Lytechinus pictus: one gene and its partners. The protein of the gene in region 1 purifies or fractionates together with the protein of each later gene. This does not show direct contact. Links are inferred from orthologs where the notes say so. Each region holds a gene or a part of one and is shown on either strand. Other genes may lie near its edges.

The links.
Region 2: the proteins of C-Jun-amino-terminal kinase-interacting protein 1-like (region 1) and mitogen-activated protein kinase kinase kinase 7-like purify together in Homo sapiens (pull-down; 3 studies listed by BioGRID and IntAct, with this or other methods). This does not show direct contact. The link is inferred for Lytechinus pictus from reciprocal best matches to the Homo sapiens genes MAPK8IP1 and MAP3K7.
Region 3: the proteins of C-Jun-amino-terminal kinase-interacting protein 1-like (region 1) and dual specificity mitogen-activated protein kinase kinase 7-like purify together in Homo sapiens (affinity purification with western blotting; 3 studies listed by BioGRID and IntAct, with this or other methods). This does not show direct contact. The link is inferred for Lytechinus pictus from reciprocal best matches to the Homo sapiens genes MAPK8IP1 and MAP2K7.

Annotation. Positions count from the first base shown.
Region 1 is NC_087263.1:12,638,577-12,646,301, forward strand, and holds the start of C-Jun-amino-terminal kinase-interacting protein 1-like, read left to right. Parts: upstream 1-4,616; 5' UTR 4,617-4,619; coding exon 4,620-4,756; intron 4,757-7,725. UniProt on the Homo sapiens protein: The JNK-interacting protein (JIP) group of scaffold proteins selectively mediates JNK signaling by aggregating specific components of the MAPK cascade to form a functional JNK signaling module. Required for JNK activation in response to excitotoxic stress.
Region 2 is NC_087248.1:22,971,917-22,979,595, reverse strand, and holds the start of mitogen-activated protein kinase kinase kinase 7-like, read left to right. Parts: upstream 1-4,645; 5' UTR 4,646-4,743; coding exon 4,744-4,812; intron 4,813-6,724; coding exon 6,725-6,835; intron 6,836-7,382; coding exon 7,383-7,636; intron 7,637-7,679. UniProt on the Homo sapiens protein: Serine/threonine kinase which acts as an essential component of the MAP kinase signal transduction pathway. Plays an important role in the cascades of cellular responses evoked by changes in the environment.
Region 3 is NC_087259.1:22,221,389-22,229,406, forward strand, and holds the start of dual specificity mitogen-activated protein kinase kinase 7-like, read left to right. Parts: upstream 1-4,951; 5' UTR 4,952-5,127; coding exon 5,128-5,263; intron 5,264-8,018. UniProt on the Homo sapiens protein: Dual specificity protein kinase which acts as an essential component of the MAP kinase signal transduction pathway. Essential component of the stress-activated protein kinase/c-Jun N-terminal kinase (SAP/JNK) signaling pathway.

The DNA of each region.
Region 1 (7,725 bases):
ACTAAGAAATATGGATTTTAATTTGAACCCTATAGGAGTTGATACAACAGCAGCATCCCAAGTGCAATTATGCTCATTTAAGTAATAAATAATAACAATTTTATATACCGCAAATTCGCAAATTGCCTCTAATTCTACATTAAGGGTGCAGTGAGCTATATTTAGCACCCTGTAGGGAGCAGAAATGAAACATATGTATACAGGAGCAAATTACAACTTTTTAAATGTAAAGTATTATGCACTTTAAACGGTTCAAATTTGCACCTATCAGGGTGCAAACAAGAATTTCTTTGTACAAATAATGATAAAAAGGTGCATTTTGCAATGGCACTTAGGGGCACTTAAGGTGCAAGATTATACCCCAAAGGTTGGTACAAGTTTTTCATTCAGGGTTCAAAAATTTCTTAGCCTGTATCAATTGAGAAAAAAAAATATGCCGCCATCTTTTGGTTGCCTTGCCGGCTACATCAAAATATCATGCCCGCGGCAACCCGTCCGTATCATGTAATTTATTATATTCATGCCATTTCTGCGTTGATTTGTTTTAGCGGTCTACTTTGTTCTGTGACGTCATAAACACTGGCGTGCAAATGGAGGGGGGGGGGGAGCTTGGGGTATGAACGGTCACCCCCAAAAAAAATTTACGACAAAGAAAGAGACAAAGAAAGACAAGGAAAGGAAATGTCAGTTTATCTTAATTGTGATATACGTCGTGTATATGATCCTAGCTGTACCAGCCACCTCCAAGGCACAAGGTAATTTGCCAAAATTTTATTGTATTTCATTTCATCCAACATCAAGCCGGGCTAAGAAGGAGAAGAAAAGCTAGAAGAAGAAGAAGAAGGGGAAGAAGGAGAAGAAGAAGAAGAAGAAGAGGAAGAGGAAGAAGGAGAAGAAGAAGAAGAGGAGGAAGAAGAAGAAGAGGAGGAGGAGGAGGAAGAAGAAGAAAAACAAAGAAGAAGAAGAGGAAGAAGAAGAAGAAGAAGAGGAGGAGGAAGAAGAAGAAGAAGAAGAAGAAGAAGAAGAGGAGGAGGAGGAAGAAGAAGAAAAAAAAACAAAGAAGAAGAAGAGGAGGAGGAGGAAGAAGAAAAACAAAGAAGAAGAAGAGGAAGAAGAAGAGGAAGAAGAAGAAGAAGGAGAAAAAGGAGAAGAAAAAGAAGAAGAAGAATGAGGGGGAGGAGGAGGAGGGGGAGAAGGAGGAGGGGGGGGGGGAGAAAATTGAAAACGGTAAGATGTGATATCATTTTCAGAACGTCATAATCAATCCAAAGAAAAAAAATCATCGTAAAGAAATCAAGTTTATGGACACACTCGCTTCGTTCGCTCGGGACTGTTACTTTTTTTTTAATCACCGACACCATAGTGTTCACTCGATATATATATATATATATATATATGTATATATATATATATATATATATATATATTTTTTTTTTTTTTTTTTTTTTTTGGGGGGGGTCATTTCGCCAACGCACTTATAAATTAATCGTGGAATACATTGTGTATGCTAAATGCCATCAACCTTATATAAGGGAAGAGCGACGGAGGGGGGGGGGGGAATCCCAAGAATTTATAGGCGTTTCGATTAACAGGCGTTTATTTATTTTCTTCACAATTATTGAAATACATTCGTTTTGTCCCCGCAAGACTAGTCTGGGTGTCCTAATGATCTGCCAACGAATGATCTGCACAGTGGCGTAACTACGGGGGGCATGGGGGGCACGTGCCCCCCCCCCAATCGGCTGGCCAAAAAGAAAACGGGGAAAAGGAGAAAAAAGGAGAAAGGAAAAGAAACGTAGTGGAAAAGAAGAAATTATTGTTCATTATAATGTTATATTATATTATGATCATGTTATGTTAATGTATATTACATAAAGAAACATTTTTTTCATAACTTTATGAAACATTTGCTCAGGGCCTATGTCTTCATTGTTCCTGGTGCTCGCATTGTCTGTTTAACTAGATATAATAGATCAAATAATTTTTTTTTGGAATACTATAGTTTTCAAGTATATTTGAGAGACGTGACGTTGTCAAATCAAATCAATATTCACCAAATATATTTCCTCGCACTTCGAGCTATTATTATTATTATTATTATATAGTGATATATGCTTCTTTTTCATGACTACTGAAAGTGATCGCCCCATTTTAAGGTCTTGATATAAAACATTTCCTGTCCGTGCTTACGTTCGCATTGAAGGATTTGTGAGATATGTCTGCTCTTCATGAATTCCTAAAATCAGTCCTTAAAATGTCCCTTTTCCTGATCTGAATATTAAAAAAATTTCAGCTCGCGCTTCGCGCTCGCATCATTTGGTTAGTGAAATACGTATGGTCTTAGCAAATTATGCCCCTCTTCAGGTCTGAATTTCCTATATTTTCAGCTCGCGCTTCGCGCTCGCAATATTTGATTAGTGAGATGTGTATGATTATCATGATTACAATGACTACAAAAAGTGCTTTATGTGTATATATGTAATTCTAACCAAATCAGCAAGCGCTTGGCACTCGCATTAGATGACTATGGTGTTGTATTCTCCTCATGGATTCCTAAATATAGCCCTTAAAATGTCCCTGTTTGGGGTCAATTTATACAAAAATTTCCATATGGAAAACTAGCGGACAGAAGGTCCTCGCTGCACGCGCGCACCCTTATAACACGCAGAATTCCCTTGCATTATACCCGTTTTTCACAAACAAATGTGTATCAAGGACAAGCGTTGATTCAGATAGAATTTCCGCCCCCCTGAAATGAATGGTAACAACTTCTTCTATCAGATGACCATAATTTTTTTTTACATTCAATTGGTGGGAAATATGGCACTTTATTACATTAAAATCACTAGAAACCATCCATAGTCAGGAATATGTATTGGGATATTGGGTTTGGGGGACATTTTTATAGTACCCGGGTGGATTATATCCGTCGTCACATCGGTGGGTGGTGGTATCATGAATTTCCGCCCAGATTTAATAAAGGGCACATTGTAAGGCAAATACTCATGAAAGAACCATGGAGATTTGTTAATAAGGAAATAGGGCACTTTTATCATCAAATCAGATGAGATTTTCTTTGTGATAGTGATGTCCGAAGAGCAAACCTACACTCGTGACGGGTCCATTATGTATACGAGGGGTGCATCCTAGCTTACCACTGCATAGCTAAATCTGAAAATTAAGTTTTGCTTATTTCTTTCATTTTATAATGATGTTTAAATGTTCAAACAACGATAATTCATGAAAATTGACTCAAAATATTGCGAATCAACGCTGAAACATTATTTGTGTATACATTTTATCCCTCTGTAATGCTATTTCCCCCATAAAGCCGCAATGGAACATTCCGCACCACTAGTCAAACGTCGTCTGCTATGTTTTTACATGTCCGGTACACTGCATACAAGTTTTCGATATGGCTTGCGCTTCGCGCTCGTATTGTTTATTTAGCGAGACCGGTACGTAACATGATAACAAGAAGTTGCTTATAATGTCGCTTTCTAGGTCTGAATATCAAAAATTTTCAGCTCGCGCTTCGCACTCCCATTATTTGATCAGTGAGATACATATCCGTTTTATGGCACTGTCGTTAAATTGTCTCTATTATGTCATTGTCAGTATAGCTGGCAAATGAGCGCGCTTCGCGCGGTCATTTAGTGACTCAAATGTTTGCTGGTGCCCCCCAATGCCGTGACCCACGGTACGCCACTGGATCTGCACGACTCACTATTTTTCACTGGCTGCACTAGATTTTATGTTCTTATTTATTTATTTATTCATTTATTTATTTATTTGTTTATTTATTTGTTTACTTATTAATTGATTATTTATTTATTTATTACTATGATTTTTTTGGGGGTATTACCTAATTATGACGTCATATTTTTTATAATTCTTGATAACATTATATAGGGTATTGTTATACGGTGGACCAGACCTCTATTTTTTTAGAAGGCCTATATACTTTTTGAAATTCATAATCATTCCTTTCAGTATAATTTTATACTCCTTTTACTCCCCCTCTGATAGTTTTCCTTTATTAATATGTACTTGAAAAAGGGGAAAATCATAAGGGGTGGTCGCCCTTCTATCTCTCAACAATAGTCCTTATAAGGCTTAGACGATGGCTGAAAAAAAAACCCATAAAAGTAGCGTGGAAAAGTGCCAAATTCCCGCCAAATTACCACATTAGTCCGGCCAACGGTGCTGCGTGTGTCATTCAATTTCCCGCCCCAAGGAGTAATTCAGGTTATTTGGGTTATATATGCATATAATTATACTATACTAAGTTATATATAAACAACTACAAAGAATATTATCATATCACCACTTTTATCATATTTTGTAATGTCTCCGTGTAAAATAGAAAATGAAGAGGCACTATCAAAATTTATCGTCTATGTTGAAATTGATTGGCTAAGAAACATAGATGTCTAAATGTTGCTATGCTAACTGCTAGATAAAACAGACTTTGTCGGATAAAATATCTGACGAGTCATTTCATGAGACGATTCCCAGATGATGCAGATCATAAAGATGAGATGATGTCATAAGAAATAATAAGATGCTTTTACGCACTCGCCATTTACCTCCTCATTACCGTATCTTTTATGACGTCAATGGGATGTATGGCAGGCCGTCGACGTCCGCTGCGAGAGACAACAGCCTGTGAGATGGGAGACCCGGATTTCGCCGATAATGACTGGGAAACTTCACAAAAATGTTCGGTTTTTCGATCGACAATGGATTCATATAGGTTTGTCCTACATTTTACCTTTTTATTTTGCAAATCATACTGCGTAATGCTGAATGAATATAACAATTGTATTGAAAATAATTACTGTAGTCCCGCCTGCTTACATCGATGTAGTGTAGTTGAGCGTCAATCATCTTGATTTGCATGCATTTACATGTAGGGCCTATGGTTAAAAAAAGAATAATAAAAATACACATCTATTTTAAATGTGTTTCGTTATCATAGTTATTTGTTGATTCAGCTAATCTGAGTTCCTGACATTCATCTGTTATTGGAATGAAAGTATGGCTCTCCCAAAATAAATCATAAAAATTTGGCTGCCTTAATTTAATTATTAAATTTGCAAAAAAGTAATCAATCATCATTCTCGTTCATTGTTTAACATTTTTTGTCTAGTTAGTGATGTTGACTATTTTTTCAGTTTTAAATCAATCGATAATGATACTATTGATAGCATTTATTGCATTGAAATTAGACCAAACAATAGTTAATTTCATCTGTAAAAGCAAGAAACTTGACTTATCATTTAATTGGTCTCACTCACACAACATGCGAGGTTAGTATACCGTACTAACCTCGCACAACACATGTGATTTCATAGTGCATTTTGACGTTTTCATTCATCACACGAATGTGAGGGACTAAACTACGCCAAACCTTTCAATATTTGTCCGCTATGTTAATCTTGATCGTATGATCAAGTTTATTTGAAAAAGCAATTATAAATTATTTATTAAAGTGTTTTTATCGCTTACCTCCAAATCTCAACCAGGATACTTCGCTCGGTCCGTCCTTAGTCATCCTTCGTACTGCGGTGGAAATTACGCAAACAACAATCGAAATGCGAAATTTTCCTATCGAACATTCTCGATTCAAGTCGTCGGCGCATAATAGGAAATTGTACCAAAAATCAACATAGTTCTCTATTTATTCAAACAATTTTTTCTGGGGTGCACTTGACCTTTAAGAGATTTTCCAATGAAAATATTACATGGAACTTGGAAATACAAATCATAATTTGGTTGAACAAAATGTTTTCTGTTAAAGTATAAAACAGAAGAGGAACATATCCTTCATGTATTTTTATATCCAAAATATGTTGCCTTAGTATGGAATAATCACAATGACATAAAATGAAAATGGGTAAAGTACCTTTCTAATGATCATTGAGATTTCGCCTGTGGAATCATTGTTTGATAATTTTCAAAGCTTTAAATAGATGAAAATGTTCATTGAGAAAATATACATATATATGTATGAACAAAATGATAATGTCCCGATTGTTTCGCATTACGTGTGTTAGATTGCGGGCGTTTGTGTGTGTGTGTAGGAAGCAAGATGTTCGTGTTAATGTTTGCACAAAAAAGGAGAGGGAAAGGGAAAGGAAAAGGGAGGGGGAAAGGTAGAGGAGAGAGAGGGAAAAGGAGACCATAAAATAGAAAGAAAACAAAGGAAAGGAAGAGGGGAAGGGAGAGGGAAAGAAAAATGGAAAGAGCGAGAAAAGAGTAGGGGAGGGAGAAAGGAAAGAAAAGAAGGGAAAGGAAAAGCGAAAAAGGGAAGGGAAAGGGAGAGAAGAAAAGAAGGGAGAACGAAAATGGGGAAAGGGAGAAGGAGAGGGGATAATGAAGGGGATAGGAAAATGTCAAGTTTGAAGATCTGAATATTAACACTAAAACAGAATTAGACTCCCATGTTTTATTTATAAAAATACCATCTTTTTCATGATTATAAAGGTTCAACGTCCCTGTTCTAGGTCTAAACTTCAACATAAATCTACTGGCGCTTCGCGCTTGAATTCTGGAGGTCATTCCTCTTTTAAAAGTATAGGTAATCTGTCGGACTTTTCAAATCCCAAATTTAAATCTTAAGCGCAAATGCCCTCGCATTATTTTTCATTTAGATACAGTCCTGTCATCAATATCAAAAACTCTAAGCGCGAGCTTCGCGCTGGCATCATTTTTGTAAGCGACATTTATGATGTTGTTCATATTTAAAAAATGTCCATTTGTTGAGGTTTAAATGTCCAAAAGTTCAGCGCTCGCATAATTTGTAAGGTAAATAGACCTACCCTTTTAATTGTTATACAAAGGCGCTTATACAACGTCCAGAATGCAGTTCGGAATATTGAAAATAACTATTGGTCCCGCTATTTCTGCCCGTGCGACAAGCATTTATCATTTTGAATCATGAGATTCACCTTTAAAATATGATGAAAAAGTATCGTTAAGACTGAATTAAGAAAAAAAGAAGCTCACGTTTCACGCTCGCATTTTAATTGATCCGTTAGCTTGTGATAATAATGGTGACTTCGTTAATATATCTTAGCGGACATGTCCACCTTTTGGTGCTTCAAGAAAAATAAACACAACACACAAATAATAATAGAAAACGAACAAGAATAGAATAGATAGTTACCTATCCCACTCATGAATTCTTATTTAACAGTCCCCAAAACGTATTTTTTTCGTGTTAGCTTATTTCATATACATATATATATATATAAATATATATATATATATATATATATAGGCGTAAATAAATCAAGCATTTTATATATATATATATATATATATATATATATATATATATATCTTTCACACAATATTTAAATAAAAGAGTTGCCAAAGCTGTAGTACATGTATAACTTCACACACATATATATATATATATATATATATATATATAGGTCTCCTCATCATGGTTATAAAAAGTGCTCAGAATGTTTTATTTTCAAGTCCTTGTATCAGAATTTTCAGCTCGGGCAGCTCTATCGCATTTTGATTACTATCCTGTTGATTTATTTACTTGAACAAAATATTTAAAATGTCCAGCTTTTAGAACAGATATCAAAAAAAGGTATTCACCTTTGATCATAGATGAGGAAGAAGAAAAAAGTGAGAAAAAAATAGGAAACAAACTAACGAATTAATGTGACATAATTTTTCTTCATTTCAAGGCGACTCTTTACA
Region 2 (7,679 bases), on another chromosome or scaffold:
GATACACAAATCTTTGATACCAGTATTTCTATCCAAATCAACTAAGTGGTCCAAAAGATGGAAATGTTGGAAATTTAAATGTAAGGTGGTTCATATATATGGGAAAGAACTTCAAGAAGAACCACACAATGAATGGAGTCGGACAGGCCAAAGACCTTCGGAGTAATTATTGATAAGGAAATAGATTTCCACCAGAATGTGGCAAATCCAGATTCAAGCAAATGAAATTGAAGGAATGATAAAGAGAACATTTCGGAAAATATCAAAGGATATGCTTCCCATTTTGTCCACCATACTTGTACGACCTCATCTTGAATATGATAACATTGAACTGTGGCATTCATAAATTGGACTAAGATAAAGTAGAAAAGGTGCAACCAGGGGTGCAACACGAAGAGCAACAAAAAGCTTCACTGAGTTCTACGATCGAGAGCTAAATTATGAAGAACGTTTGAAAGCACTCAATCTACAAAAGAGGTGATATGACTGCAGTCTTCAAAATTCTGACGGGTCGACTTGAAATTCTGCCGGAAATATTTTTTTACACAGTAAAAAAAAGATTATACAACGCTGTTTACTATATGAACCTTACAGTAATTGTTTAAACAGTTTAAACAACTGTTTAAATTTTAAGCAACAAAGTTTAATTTTCAATATCTTATTTTCAATAAATTAAACATGATTGTTTAAACGGTTAAACAAATACTGTATATAAGGTTCATATAGTAAACAGCGTTGCATAAAATCTTAAACAGCGTTTTTACTGTGTACAGTGCAGAGTAACCAGAGGACACAATCAAAACTCTTCATGAAAAAGATCAAGACTGGATGTTAGGAGTAATGTTTTACTCCATGAGTTGTAAGAGATTGGAGCAATCTACCTCGAGAAATTGTAGAGGCAAAGTGATTTTTAAATGTTTAAAAAATCGGATTGACGAATTTGATGGAATGGGTTATTTAAATACCACTAATTCAAGATGCACAGTCAAGTTTAAATTAGCCATAGAAGGATACATTCTAAAAATCAAGGATTTAAAATAAATCCAGATCGGCTGTGGATAGTGACCAGCCGAATGTTGGATTTATTTTGAATCTTTAGGATTAACTTACTAATCTCAAAGGATTTAAATTCAAATATTTTAGATTTATATTTCAGTGTACAAGGTTTGAAACTAAATCTAATATTCGGCTGGTCACTATTCACAGCCGATCTGGATTTATTTAAAATCCTTAATTGATTTTAGAGTATAGTAGCAATCAACATCGATATCAAACGTTAAAGGAGAAATCTACACTGTAAAAAAAAATTAGTAGAAATTACTTAATAAAATTGTGGCAAAAAATTGCCTTAATTTTTTCAAGTATTTATGACTTTGGCAGTTTTAAGTAAAATTTACTTATTTTCTTTGCTTCCATTTTACTCAAGAAAATTAAGTTACAATAACTTAATTCAATTAAGTAAAACAATCACTAAAATATTTGAAAATATCAAATGGGGGAGTGGATGGACTTTCGTGATTCGAAAGTCCGCTCCCCCATCGTCCCACTTTTGGTGGCATCATTTTCATTTTATACATGTTTTATCCAAATATTAAACTTTGTGAATTGTCACTTACCTGTACATGTATAGGTACTGACATTGATATTTATACGCGATCGTTTCATTCTTACAAATAAAACAGTGAGAATAATTTTCTGCTAAATGACTATTTAATGTTGCCTTTTCTTTGATTCAACAAAAGAATACAATAGTTAGCACACCCTTATCCAAAACAATTTCAAACACAAATAGAAATGACAGTTATTAAAAAAAAAACATTTACTTGCTCTAATGAATATTCATGCATTATTTAAATATGGCGTTAATTGAAAATATAAGTACATTCAACATTATTTTATAAGTAATAATCATCTTTGCCTAATTGAGTTAGATTTACTCAATCAAAGCAAGCTATCAATACGCGAATTTTCTTAAATGTATATTGAACCCAAATAAATCAAGTAAATCAAGTAAATTAAAAGACAAGTTGAAACTACTTAAAAACAACGAAAAATAATTACAAATTGTAAATTCTACTTAAATACATTAAGTGTTAACTACTGATTCAATGTTTTTTTTTTACAGTGTAGGGCCCTGGGCACGATTTTGTAGTAGGGTCGCTGATGTAAATTTGACAAGCAAAAATAAAAGAGGGAGGGGTTCACAACAAATTGAAGGCCATTTTGATCCCGAGAAGTTTGACAAGAAAAAAAGAAGATAAAAGAAAAAAGGTTCCACTACAAAATATAAGTAATTTTGGTTACATTTGTCAATTTTTTAACACCTACCAGAACTCCAAGGGGTGCTGCCTAGCGCCTGTAATATACGCAGCACCCCCAAGGAAAATCGCGGTCCGGGTGCAGAAATCAGCACCCCCGCTTCCCAGGGCCATGGAGAAATCCTATTCATCCGTACTATCCTAATGTGATGTGATTGTATTTCTCTTTCAGATCGGAATAAGGAATTGAAGCAGCCTCTGTGATAATTTTTATTTCTTTGCAAACGCAGCCATGAAAATGAAACATATCCGCATTACAAGGTTTTAAAGTAGGCCTATAACAAACAGGTGCGTCGTCACCGTCCCATTGGTTACCGCGCTCTGATTGGATAAAAGTTTTTACTCCTCGTCGGTGCCATTGTGACGTCACAATCTAAAAGTTCGTTAAGTGTGACATCACAATGGCACCTGCGCGGAATAAAACTTTTATCCAATCAGGGCGCGGTATAACCAACTGAATGGTGAAGGCGCACCTGTACCTGCATAATAATGGTGAAAGTAGGTCACACCGGACCGGACCATGCATGATGCAATTTGTTTTTATGGCATTTTATGCAATCATATTGTTGTCCTGTTAACTGTTTTGTGGAAAATAAACGAAAATTTAAAATGTCATAACTTTCTTATTTTTCATCCAATTTTGATGAAATTTTCAATATTATGCTTGTTTGATTTTTCTCTATTATTTCAAATCAACATTTTTCTGGGGTGGACTTGACCTTTAACATACTTTACATGGAAAAATCGTATAATCGTGATGATAATGCAATTATAAAATCTGGAAAACAATTGAAAAAAAAGTAGGCCCTATTCATAATTTATGAATGAGTGCGGAGGCAATTACAAATGCAATTATTGGTGCTGCCACCTTCACAAAAACTGGAAACTGAATATATGATATTGTGGAGTATAATCATGATGTCATGAATACTGAATACCAGATTGAGCATAAAAGGGGGAAATACACATTTTAACACAATGACACAAAGATAATTACTCCAAAAAACGAAAGGCGAAAGAGAAAAGAAAATTTGGTCAAACATTATTAGAATATTTACTGAGAAGTTGGGTTTTGATCTCCTTTTAAAAACATTTAATGATAGATTTAACATAAAGTGGTATTTTGTTCCAGATAATATTGGTCCTTTGTAAAACATACAATTCTTTGCTAAAGAGGTGATATTTTGGGTAGGTGGAAGTTTGAAGATCCCCTAGATCGTCTAAAAATATAATACAGAAATTACACACAAAAAGGAATGCTTTCGAAAGAACAGCTTGTTTATGCAATAAATAACTCGACATCGAGATATAAATTTTATTCAGTGTTGCAAATTGATAAGTTTCAATAATACGACTCGGGTCAAACTCTTTATTTATGCCTATACACCATTGAAATTTTAAACAATCATACCCCTTTTGGGAAAGTGTATGAAAAATGAAAAAAAAAAAAAAAATCACGTACATAACCGGGACAAGACCCCCCACAAAAAAGAAAGAAAAAAAAAAAAATAGATAAATAGATAAATAAATGAATAAATGAATAAATGAATAAATGAATAAATGAATAAATGAATAAATGAATAAATAAAAATAAACAAAATAAATAAATAAATCAAATACAAACAAAACAGGAAGCCCGAATCATGGAAAGCGAAGATCGAAGAGAAGGTGGGAGGGGGAGAACTGAAGAGGAAAAAAAGAGGAGTGGGAGAGGGGCCGAGGGGGGGGGGGGGGTGGGCTGGAGAGAGGAGGAGGAGCCTGCTGATTGGTAGAAACGTACGTTGGAGATTCGAGGTTAGGGCTGTATGGATAAGATTTCTCTACTGAAACTACTGAAACTACTTTTTTAATGTTATTATTACGCACTATTTAAAGAGAGAGAACTCAGAGATCCGTATTTTGCACCGAAAATAATTTGACAGATTGCATTTTTTTGTCTAGTTATTTGTTTGATTGTTTCGTGTTTTGTTCCACTGAAGCCCGAGAAGATTGGTCTTTTTTGTCTTGCGTTGTGTTAACGAGAATATTTGGTGTTTGTTTGGACTTTGGAGGAAGCCGGGGAGGAAGGGGCGGGGGGTCTGAGTGAAAAAAAATTCAAACAAATTTGTAGTTCGTAATTAAAAAGAAATCAATAGAATAGAGTTTTGTGATGCATTTTCAATTCATTTTTTTTTATTTGGGGGGGGGGGGTCTCAAAGGAAGGTAAAATGTTGCAAATATTTTTGGCTTTTTAAGTTGTATTTTAGATCAAACTGATCCGTAACATTATTGTAAATCATTGACATTGATTGTCGATTGATCGCCAGCGCACCAGCGCCCTTCAAATGGGGAATTCCCTTTTGTGAATTATCTCGGTGCGGCGAAACAGATGTCGTATCGGGATGAAACCTTTTATTTCTCCAGAATAAAGTAGCATTTAACAAAAATGGCGCGCCTGGAATCCCAGATGAGCTTCAAGGAGGAAGTTGATTTCAACGATTTAGAATTTGAGAGGGTAAGACCTTTGCATTAATTGTTTTTTTTGTGTGTTGGGTGGGGACACCAGACAGACTGCATTGCAGTGGAGTGCATTGTAAAGTTTACATGTAGTCCGGTACGTTTTTATTTGTGCTGTGTTGTGTATTTGTGCGGTGTACATGTATGGTAGTGGATCGTATTACCGAACACTTCATGAATTTGATCATATCAAACACATTATTCCAATAAAATTCACCAAACTTTCACCATAAATACACAAATACCTACAAGATATAAATATGCAGAAATTTTGCCGAAATTGTTTTTCATTTTTACGACATCAGCTTCCAATCGGACCTCTCTCCGGCTCCGCAAGTGAAATATTTTGGTCACTTGAAAAAGGTATCGTATTACCGAACGTGTGTTTTCTATGGGAAAAGTTGGGAAAACAACAAAGTCACTGATGAGCTATTTTGACCATATATTATTGTTTTGAGGATATAAAGACTTCGAAATTGTGTTTTTGATCATTTTCCATCATTTTTCTATTCAAGTTCCCTTTTGAAGGATGTTGTAAAGGTTTGAGCGTATTTGATTATTTTCTGACGCATATGATGCGCGCGTTCGGTAATACAAGGCCGGTCGGTAATACAATCACTCACTATATGATGCAGAAGCAGGGAATAGATATTGCCTATTAGGCTATTACTCAAAGTTTTTTAATGCTGAGCTCCCAGCTATTAAAGTTAAATAATGGTCCTGGATGGGTTCAAGAAATGTTGGGGGTAACAGTTTGTATTGTTATATAAGACAAGTCCACCCCAACAGATTATTTTGATAAAATTAAAAGAGAAAATTCAAACATACAACTTAAATAATGAACAAGTGCAAGCATAAGACATAACACTGAGAATTTCATCAAAATTGGATGTAAAATAAGAAAGTTATGACATTTTAAAGTTTCGCTTAAAGGGATCGTTTAACTTTGTGAGCAGCTGATTTAAAAAATTCTCAAACTGAGTTGAAACGTGCGTATGAGTGCCATTATTTGTCCTCAAAAACCCTGAAACAGACCACAATATAGGATGAAAAACTCTAATTTAGATACAAGTAGCAATTTATTAGCCTGATTTTGAGAACCGTCTAGTAGACGGGTTCAGCTTATGACCAGTTTTCTCCAATTCAAAAAGTCCGTTGGCTATTTTGACTGCCTTCTGTTGTGTGTATCTCCTATACACACACTATTAGCTGCACTGTACATTCAGTGTATACCTTGTACACACTGTATGTAGGTCATGCTGTGTTCATCTAGAATTAATGTGTTGTGCACAGATTCCCTGTATACACATAGTCATTGAAACCAACTCCCAATTATTTCAAACTTTGGTTTACATCTCCAAGGTTTTAAAATTGATCCTGTAAATATAATACTTTGAAACTTTTGGGTTAGTATTTTTACACTATAAGCCTCATGTCTAGCCCATTTTCAGGAACCAAAAGGATAATTTTTCAAATCGGAACAAAGTGAAATGATCACTTTAATTTCACAAAACAGTTTATTATAGGCACATCCTGGACGGTATGCAAATGAGGAGACTGATGTCATCATCCACTCGCTATTTCTTTTGTATTTTATTATAATGAAATATGGTATATTTTTCTAGACCCCTATTCTAATTTTCTCCCCATTGTCCTGTGAAAGAAAGTTTTATTCATCCTTGAACATGTGAATTTACCATTGTTTTAAGGTTTTATGGGTCAGTGAAGTTGGTACTTATTGTCGAACCTGTAAAAAATGAAATATGGAATAATTCAGACAATAAAAAATACAAAAGAAATAGTGAGTGGGAACATCATTGTCTTTCTCATTTCCATATCACTGTCTCTAAATGAAATTTGTTAGGTCGAGCATTCATTATATATAATTGGACTTTGTTTTGTACATGTAGGTCGTAGGCAAAGGAGCGTTTGGAGTAGTAAGTAAAGCAAAATGGCGATCTATGAATGTGGCTGTCAAGATGATCGAATCAGAAGAGGAGATCAAAGCCTTCAGAGTCGAGGTAAGTCGTATATCTTTTTACTTTTTGAAGGCCCCCAAAACAGTTCCATGACCAAGATATAAACTAGGGAAAAAAGGACAGGAAATAGGTGAAATATATTGTCAAAGTCTAACAAAATTAGCTACTCGTATTAAAAATGCTGTAATTTTTTTTGTTCCTCACTTGCAACTTATTAAACAAATTTTCTGCCACCTTAAAATATTTGGCTCAATATGCCACTGTTTTTTATGATGGTGGTGGTGATGATGATGATAATGGTGATGATGATGGTGATGATGATGGTAATGATGATGATGAAAATGGTAATTGACTAATGGTTATGATGATGATGATGATGCTGATGATGGTGATAAGGATGATGATGATGGTTGTGATGGTGGTGATGATAACGGTGATGTTGATGATGATGATAATGCTGCTGCTGATGCAAAAAAAAAAGTTGAGAACATACGATTTTAGGATGAAGAAGACAATATTTATAATGTTGATGCCGAATAATGGCAATAATGATGATGCACATCTCACTGAAAAAAAATCTAAATTTCAGGTCAGGCAGCTTTCCCGAGTGGACCATCCAAACATCGTCAAGCTCTACGGGGCGTGCACCACCCGCCCCGTCTGCCTGGTGATGGAGTATGCCGAGGGCGGGTCGCTGTACAATGTCCTTCACAGCAGCCAGCCGCAGCCCATCTACAAGGCTGCCCACGCCATGAGCTGGGCCTTGCAGTGTGCCAAGGGGGTCGACTACCTTCACTGTATGACGCCAAAGAAGTTAATACACAGGGATTTAAAACCAGCAAAGTAAGTAAAGTGTCAATAATAATAATAATGATAATAATTTACC
Region 3 (8,018 bases), on another chromosome or scaffold:
AGAGGAAGTAGCATACTGATTTTATCATCATCATCATCATACTAGACCCTTTTTAGCGTATATGCCGCGTGAACAAAGAATACACGCTTTAAGATCAAAATAAGTCATCAAATTGATAATAATTTGTTAAATTACGATTTTTTGGTACAATTTTGATATTCAAGGTTCAATATAAAGTAATTTTCCATATTATTTTAAGTGTTATCATTTAGCTTGGATTTGGCAAGATCGTCCGGACATTATTAAAACTAGACCACAATTCTTAGGCATTTTAGTGCTCCACGATTCAAATCAAGTCTTCTGCTATCATAATGATAAGTGACTTGGGAGAATACTATCCAAGGACGAAAAAAAAACACGACATTTTCTATTTCTCGTATAGACAGGAAATTCGAGGCTGAAGAATAAGAGCACCATGCATGTGAATTATTTAAGCTGAAAGGAGGTGACAAGCACTCAAAAACTGTGATTTAATCATGAATAAATTGACCTTTACCAGAATAAAAACAGGGGAGATTTTATCAAGAAAATGGGAGAAATGGAAGTGAAGGAATAGACTGCGCGACAAAGAAAAGTTTTAGATAAATGGGGTAAATATTGAGAAGAGGCGTGAGAGTTAGGCTTTAATTTATGGAGAGTGAAAATGAAAGGAAAGGCAAAGGGGTGTAGAATAATGGTATGCACCTTAAAGAAAGCTGTATCATCCAAATAGATCCACCACGGAGATCCGGGGCGGTTTTATCAGGGGCAATTCATCGACATTATTTTATTGTCTGACAAGTTTTCAGATCAGACAACCATCCAATCAGACAAAATTCCATTGCATTGATTGGCTGAGAAGCACAGGTGTCAGAATGTTACTATGGCAACTGTCTGAGAAACCTGTCAGTGTTGAGTGCTGACAACTTTCATGCAAATCGTAGAAATGTTATTACTAACAGAATCAGATTATAGTACAGAAATATGTCAAGACGTTCATTCAATAAACTGCTACGAAACTAATGATACTATCATCACATCTGTTTATGTGTATATACATGTAAAATGAATTATAAAAATGATTTGTTTAAAGAATCGGTTTAATTGTTTCTTCATAGAGGTCTTTCTATACATATATTCATGAGGGCGGGATGGGAATGATGCAAAGACAAAGACGATGATAGGTGACTCTCCCTGATTGGGGGGAGGGGGGGGGGGGTGGGGAGGGGTGTTTTGCATAGAGCTGTCCTTAGTGCAATGTAATGAGCAACACCATATTGAGGGGCTGAGTCTACTGAAAGTGCTCGATATCAGAATAAATGTGAGGGAGCAAAGCGAGCAAGCAAAATAGACTTTCTTTCTTTTACCATAAATTTGCTTGTGGAATATTATGCCGTATTCACCGTATTCTATTCTTTATCAATGAAAAGGTAGGGGTATAGGGGAAATGGAAGACAAACTTACTTTAAATTGGCCAGATGCAAAATATTAGTTGGAAAATACAATCCAAAGATTGGTAAAAACTGATAGTTACCCAAAGTAAAACAAAACTGTTGCGGACACTAGACCCTATGTCGGTGATGGTTACACAGGGCATGAATTTATTTCTTTAAAAAGTCAATGTAACTTTAATTCTTTGTGCACTCATTCGAAACCGATTTATAAACTCTATAGAAACAATATGAATCTCGGAGTGCAGCTTTAAGGAAAACTTTTGGTAATGGCAGGCGTACGACTCTGGCTGGCTCAACGCCTTAAAAGTTTGTATCCGACCCGACTTGCTTGCTAATTATAGTGAACTTGCCCCGTTCCTGGCTACGAAATTCTGTGTCGATCGTATAATGCCACAAATGTTCTCGTTCAAGTCCATATAACACGTACATGGAGACCTGTAACTAAGACGAGACAGTCATGAATCGTCGAGAGCAGAGATTTTATGTGTCGTTTTGCCGGGCTGCTCCAAGATATGGCCAGCGGGGACTCCAACCACTTCGTAAGTTGGCCTCTATTTTAATTAAAGAGATAACACATCAGTCAAATCCTGTCTTTGATTATTAAGTTTTACTTCGCCTCACATCAAGCAAAGTATTATTATCAAGCTGATGATGTGCGTACGCACTGCGCTTACAGGTCATGGCTCAATGTTCTGGTGACGCTTTTTTTTATGTTCTAATATAATCATCAATATGAGATAAATGAATTTGCTTGAGGTGCAAGATATGTTCTTACGAAAAAATAATCCTCGTTTTTTCCTCGGTAATCTATTATACTAGTAACCTTTTGCTCTTATCCTTTTAGCGGATTTGCTAACATAAAACGATATAAATCTTATTTACCTGATATATGTTTGTTAGTGGGGGTAATTTGTGCGTGTGTTCGTGTGCCTGTAAACTTCTTAAAATACTAGTATAGGAGTCCATTTATTGGGAGGCAACTTAATGTTATTGTTGTTATAATCGCCCGATAGTAATTGATTAATTTCAAGTGCAGATAAAAGCAATACATAATTATTGAGCAGGTGGGAGATGTATTTATGGTGATATATATATACAGATGAGGCCAAAAGTGTAAATACACCCATGGAATTCAGTGAAATTTGTTCGCTTGTCAAACATCCCAAATTTACTATATCTTCAGAAATATAAATACTACCATGACTAATTTAAAATAATGAAAGCGCGTATTATAAGCTCTGGGATAAAAGCATCTTTCAGGTGAAATTTTCTTTGAAGACAAGAAGTAATATTCGTGCTAAATGTATTCTATTGTTTGTTATTATATTTTCAAACATCGTTTCATAGAAATATATAAATGTAAAATCTATGAATTATATTGCATTTTCTATCATGATATGTCACCACTGAACAAAAAAAATGCGATCTGAAATGTTTGTGTTGAAAAGTAACAAGCACAGTATGAAATGTTTTTGTCAAGTTTTCATTTTTAATTTGTCTAAAATATGAAGATTTTTTTGTGAAAAAATGATACCTAAATATTTTTCAGCTCCTGATGACAAAGCAATGTGATGAAGGGGCAGGACGTACTCATTTATGTGATATCTAATTCGTCATGATAGCACAAACATTTTATAACTTATCTTCGAATTTCCTGGGTGTAATAAATTTCTTCCAAAATTATGTTTATAAATACATTTTTTCGCCATTTACCTAAAAGGCATATAATAGTTCGATGGAAAGTATATTGTGTGCAAACTGCAAGGATTACTCTTTTTTCATTCTTTTTGATGATTAGTTTATCGCATTTAACCGAGCACCATAATTGGGTATCACTTTGATTTTTTTTTGTGAAATTACATAGGCCTATCGATAAAATTGGGGAAGGCATGAAAGGGGTGGATGAGTATGCGAATCGCAATTGGGCATTTTCAACAACCAAGTATAATGCTAACCGAGCGCCCGGAGCGTTCTCCCAATTTCCCCTTCCTCGTGAAGTGCGGAAGCTTTCGCATATTTCATATCGGTTTTTAAAAATAGAAAATTGAGAGCATAACAAAATCGTCAAGGTTCAGACCGTCAAAAGCTGATTATATCCCTTTTTAACGAAGGGAAAGAAAAAGTTAATTACTCAATGGTTATTTCTTCATATTTCGAAGCGCGGATTTAGGAAGAAGACAACTTAGATTCAACATGATTTATGTAAAATGTACGTGATGTCACATCCCCACTTTTCTTTTTCTTATGTTTTTACATGAAATCATAATTGTTTCATTATTTTATAAATGTGTAAATGATGTGTCTCCATTAAGAAATAAGTTGCGGCGAGAAATAACTAATGCACTTAATTAGTTGTCAATCCAATTGTTTTATAGTTCTTGGTATAACATTTTTGAATAAACCCTTTTTTCATGTAATAAAATACAAAAGAACTAGTGGGGATATTACATCATTAGCCCACCTAATGACTTGCCTGTTTCACCGCGGAATAGTGCAAATCTTTAAAAATTTTATGACTTTGTTATTTCTTATCCGATTTTGATCAAATTTTCAGCATTTTGCTCTGTGAGTTTTACTCTATTTCTTGAGATATATATTTTCAGCCTGGAGCATCACTTTAACACATAAATTTGGTCCTTCTCAGGTGATACGAGAAATGAGGGCAACTACTGTATAAGAAGGCAAATGGGCACTTGCAAACGGCATAAGACGGGTCCTTCTCAAGTATGAAAGGGGCACAGAACACATTCATGAGGGGCACTTTTAAAGGGGCACTGATTCGAGAAAGGGCACGTACAAGAAGCCAAGGGGGCACATAAAAGCTTCTCAGGTGAAAGGGGCACATGACATGCACGTTGGAGAGGGGGCATTAAAAAAAAAAAATTGGCACTTATTTATACGAGAAAGGGCACGTGTTAACACCTAAAACGGGTGCTCCTCAGGTGAAAGGGGCACAGTACACGATCGTGAGGGGCACTTTTCTTGCGTAACAAGGGCACTTTTCAGTGCATGAAAAAGTGGGGGGGGGGGCACTGTGCCCCGGCCCCACAGGATCGCCGCCCCTGATTCTAAACAAATAGTCATTTTTATTTGAAAAGCTCCTTAAATTGCCCTTTTATTAAATTTTGTTTTAAGTCTAGTCATAGGGGTGGAAGTTTACTTTAACCCACCTATATGAGTCTACGGTACATGAAATAAATAAACAATAAAAAGATGGGATATTGATATTGATTCTAAATTTGATCGTTGAAGCATGACGTATAGAGTTATACTATTTTTTTTAACCACCCCTCCTCCAATTGCCCCAAAAGACATTGGATAGAACGCATATTCCATAAACGAGGCCTAGAAAAATGATGCAGAAGAAAGGAAAGGGGCGAAAATGGAGCGGCCCTTATTGTGAAAAATAGTTTTTATTTTATACCTAAATTTTCAATGTGAATATGAAAAACATCTATCACATTGGGCTACCATTGTGAGGTTGACAAACAAGTGTGATAATATTGTGTTTTTCTTCTATGGATTTTGAAAACAAATTTATTAGCTTAATCACTTTTCACACTGAGTCGAACTATGGAGCCTATAGTTAACAAATCATTATTCTCAAAAGAATGTCAACAAAGAGATCAATAGAAAAATATAAATAGATCGCCGAGATACCAAATTATTGTGCGCATGCGTCATAATTTCCAAGATGTCTTCTTCCTTGGACCTACGACAAAAATTGAATCAACTCCAAATTAGCATTCAAGATGAAAACAGAGCGAGAAAAGAGAGGCCATCTATTGATTTTAATTTAGAATCACCTAAGATGCCTCGGCAGAGGCCAGGTAAGATCAATTCCTCAAGCTTGATCATCACTTTTTGATTTTTAGAGCGTTTATGGCTTATGCAATGAGAAGATGAAAAGACATCAACAATACACTGTCATTGCACTCCACAATCTGGTGGCAGTGCAGTGTGTCGATGCAATGCACTCAGCTAGCTCAGCGCTGCATCCGATATGCAAGCCCTGCGATGCGGCGCGACTAGCGACTGTGCTTCGGCTAGATTATAATACTACGCCGTGTTTTTTTTTATAACAAAACATTTTTTCCCCTGTTGCGTTTTTCTATTTTTGTTATAAATTAAGATAAGAATTATTGAGATAAATTGAGAACCAACTTCATATGATCATATGGCACTGCCTGACCGACCGCCTTCATTGCTTTATTTTTATTTTAGTTTACAATTAATGAATTATGAGATACAGTCCGACCTCTCTTTAATCCGGACATTTTGGGACCAGCACCATCCGGATCTGCATGATCTGGGAGACCCAATAAATGATAATACACGCAGCTAACTCCCCAATGGTAGCTACGGCCTACACGTAATCTACTGTAGTGAGCGTACACAGACAGTATTCACTGACTGCTCGATGCTCTCAGTGCAAATACAGGCGTTTTTTTTAACGGAAATGAAATCGATTGGTTGCCAAAACTCATAATTTTCCTGCTGATGAAATGATTGAGGAATACATCAAGCATTCCTCAATCAAAAGAAAGAAAACAACTTGATGAAACTTAGACAGCTGGCAGCCGTCTGCTTCGAGGAGTTTTTTTAACATTAAATTTTTTTTTTAAAATTTCTCCTCGTACACAGACGGCTCGCTATCGTGCAGCCAACATTAGGGGGTTAACAATGCAAATTCCCCCGACGGGGCTCATCGATTTTTGTCTTTATTTCATAGAAATATATAAAAAGAATTGTACCAAAATAAAGATTATTCCGTTTTGGCCTGAAACGCTCCAAATCGGAGAAAAAATAATAAGGGGAAAAAAACAGTGATTTACTTCGGCTGTCGCGCAACTTCACTTCCCTGTTTTATCCAAACTTAATAATACATAAACATATGGCCATTGAGTCCCCTGTATAGATCGAGCTAGAACTTCGGTCTCTGTATTTGGTGAGTGGAGCCAACGGAGTTCAGCGTAACAACCAACATAACAGAGACCGAAGCTTTTGGTCTAGATGAAACTAAGTTGAAAATTGGATCATCGCAGCTTTGCAAAGTCAGCCATTGTTAAGTTATACTGACTGTAGGCTCAAACATACATGTAGATGGCGCTCTCCGTAATGCAAAATGAAGCCTGAGCAATAGATGTGTTTATGTTTTTTTTTCCCCCAAAAAAACAATTTCGCTGTTCCCTGATTTACTGGAAAATTATCCTGTCTAAGTTAATTTGGTCTCCATAAAAATAATGTGGTTGTAGGTAGACTATATTGGAAAATAAATGTAATCAAAGAGAGTTTGCGAAGGAATTTTGATTTTAGATTGAAATCTCATCTCCCCATGTACGGTACTAGATTTAAAAAAATCTCTGCAAAACGTGTGCGTCCAGATAATAGAAAGATCCGGATAAGGGTAGGCCAGTTAAGAGAGGTCGGACTGTAATTTTATTACTCAGTTGCATGATTGATTTGATTGTAATGTTAGTCCTCTAGAGTAACTGCGTCGGTGCGCGGCTGGGGTTGGTGTGCAGCACGCTAAGCAGACTCGGCAATATACCAGTACTACTGAAATCACCAACACACTCTAGACATGTACACTACACATTTACTAGCTCACTCCCACACTACAAAATGGTTCATTGAAATGGACAAAATTTTGAACAAAAGTGAAAATTTCTTACCTAAATCACCATATCCTGCGTCATAAATATCACACTTGCTATATTTTAACATTGCAGTTAAGAATTACGGGGTCCAAAAAAGTGGATTTTTCATGTTTTTCCCAATGTTTGTGGATTTTGAAAATGTCCGCACTAAGCCTGAGTCGAATCGATTTTAAAATCGGTGTTCGATCGATGTCATCGAACGCCGGTGCAGATTTTGCAAAATCGGTGCATCGAGAAAAAAAAAAATACGTCGGTCGATTCTTTGGTTCACACAATCAATCATCAAAATAAACAGTAATGTCCAACTTGACTACTACTTACTTGATTTATATTGCCCCCAAAATGAAACCAATTATGTAATTATGATTACATTACAGTCTCACTCGTCTGCTCGTGCCGAGATAATTTATGCACGATGAATTCATGAATGGAAGTCATCGCCATCGATCGTGCATGCGCAGTACTGTGCTTTAATCAAACCAGAAAATGGCCGGAAAATTGACTCGATCAACGTAAAATAAATCTTGCTTTCATGAACAATATTAATATCATGACCATAGAACATTATTTAATCGTAATATTTAACAATAATTTTCATATGATAATCATTAATATGAATTTAGAGCTTGATGTGAACCGTTTGTATTTCGTTTCAATTTTCAATGACGGACATCACATGACGATCGACTTTAGTGAGTGCACTTGTCTAAAACAAATAATTATCACGTCAGGATTGATTCTCGAACATTGTCAACATGCAGAAACTCTTTTCAAGATCGTTATATCACCATATAATGTTTTACATGACAAAACAGAGAAAATTGCGTTTGATATTTTTCCCATCAATTTGAAGCTAGTTTGTGCCCAACTTTGGGCTCTGATTTCATGAATGGAAAATATGTCATACGTCATCAAACGGGCATGC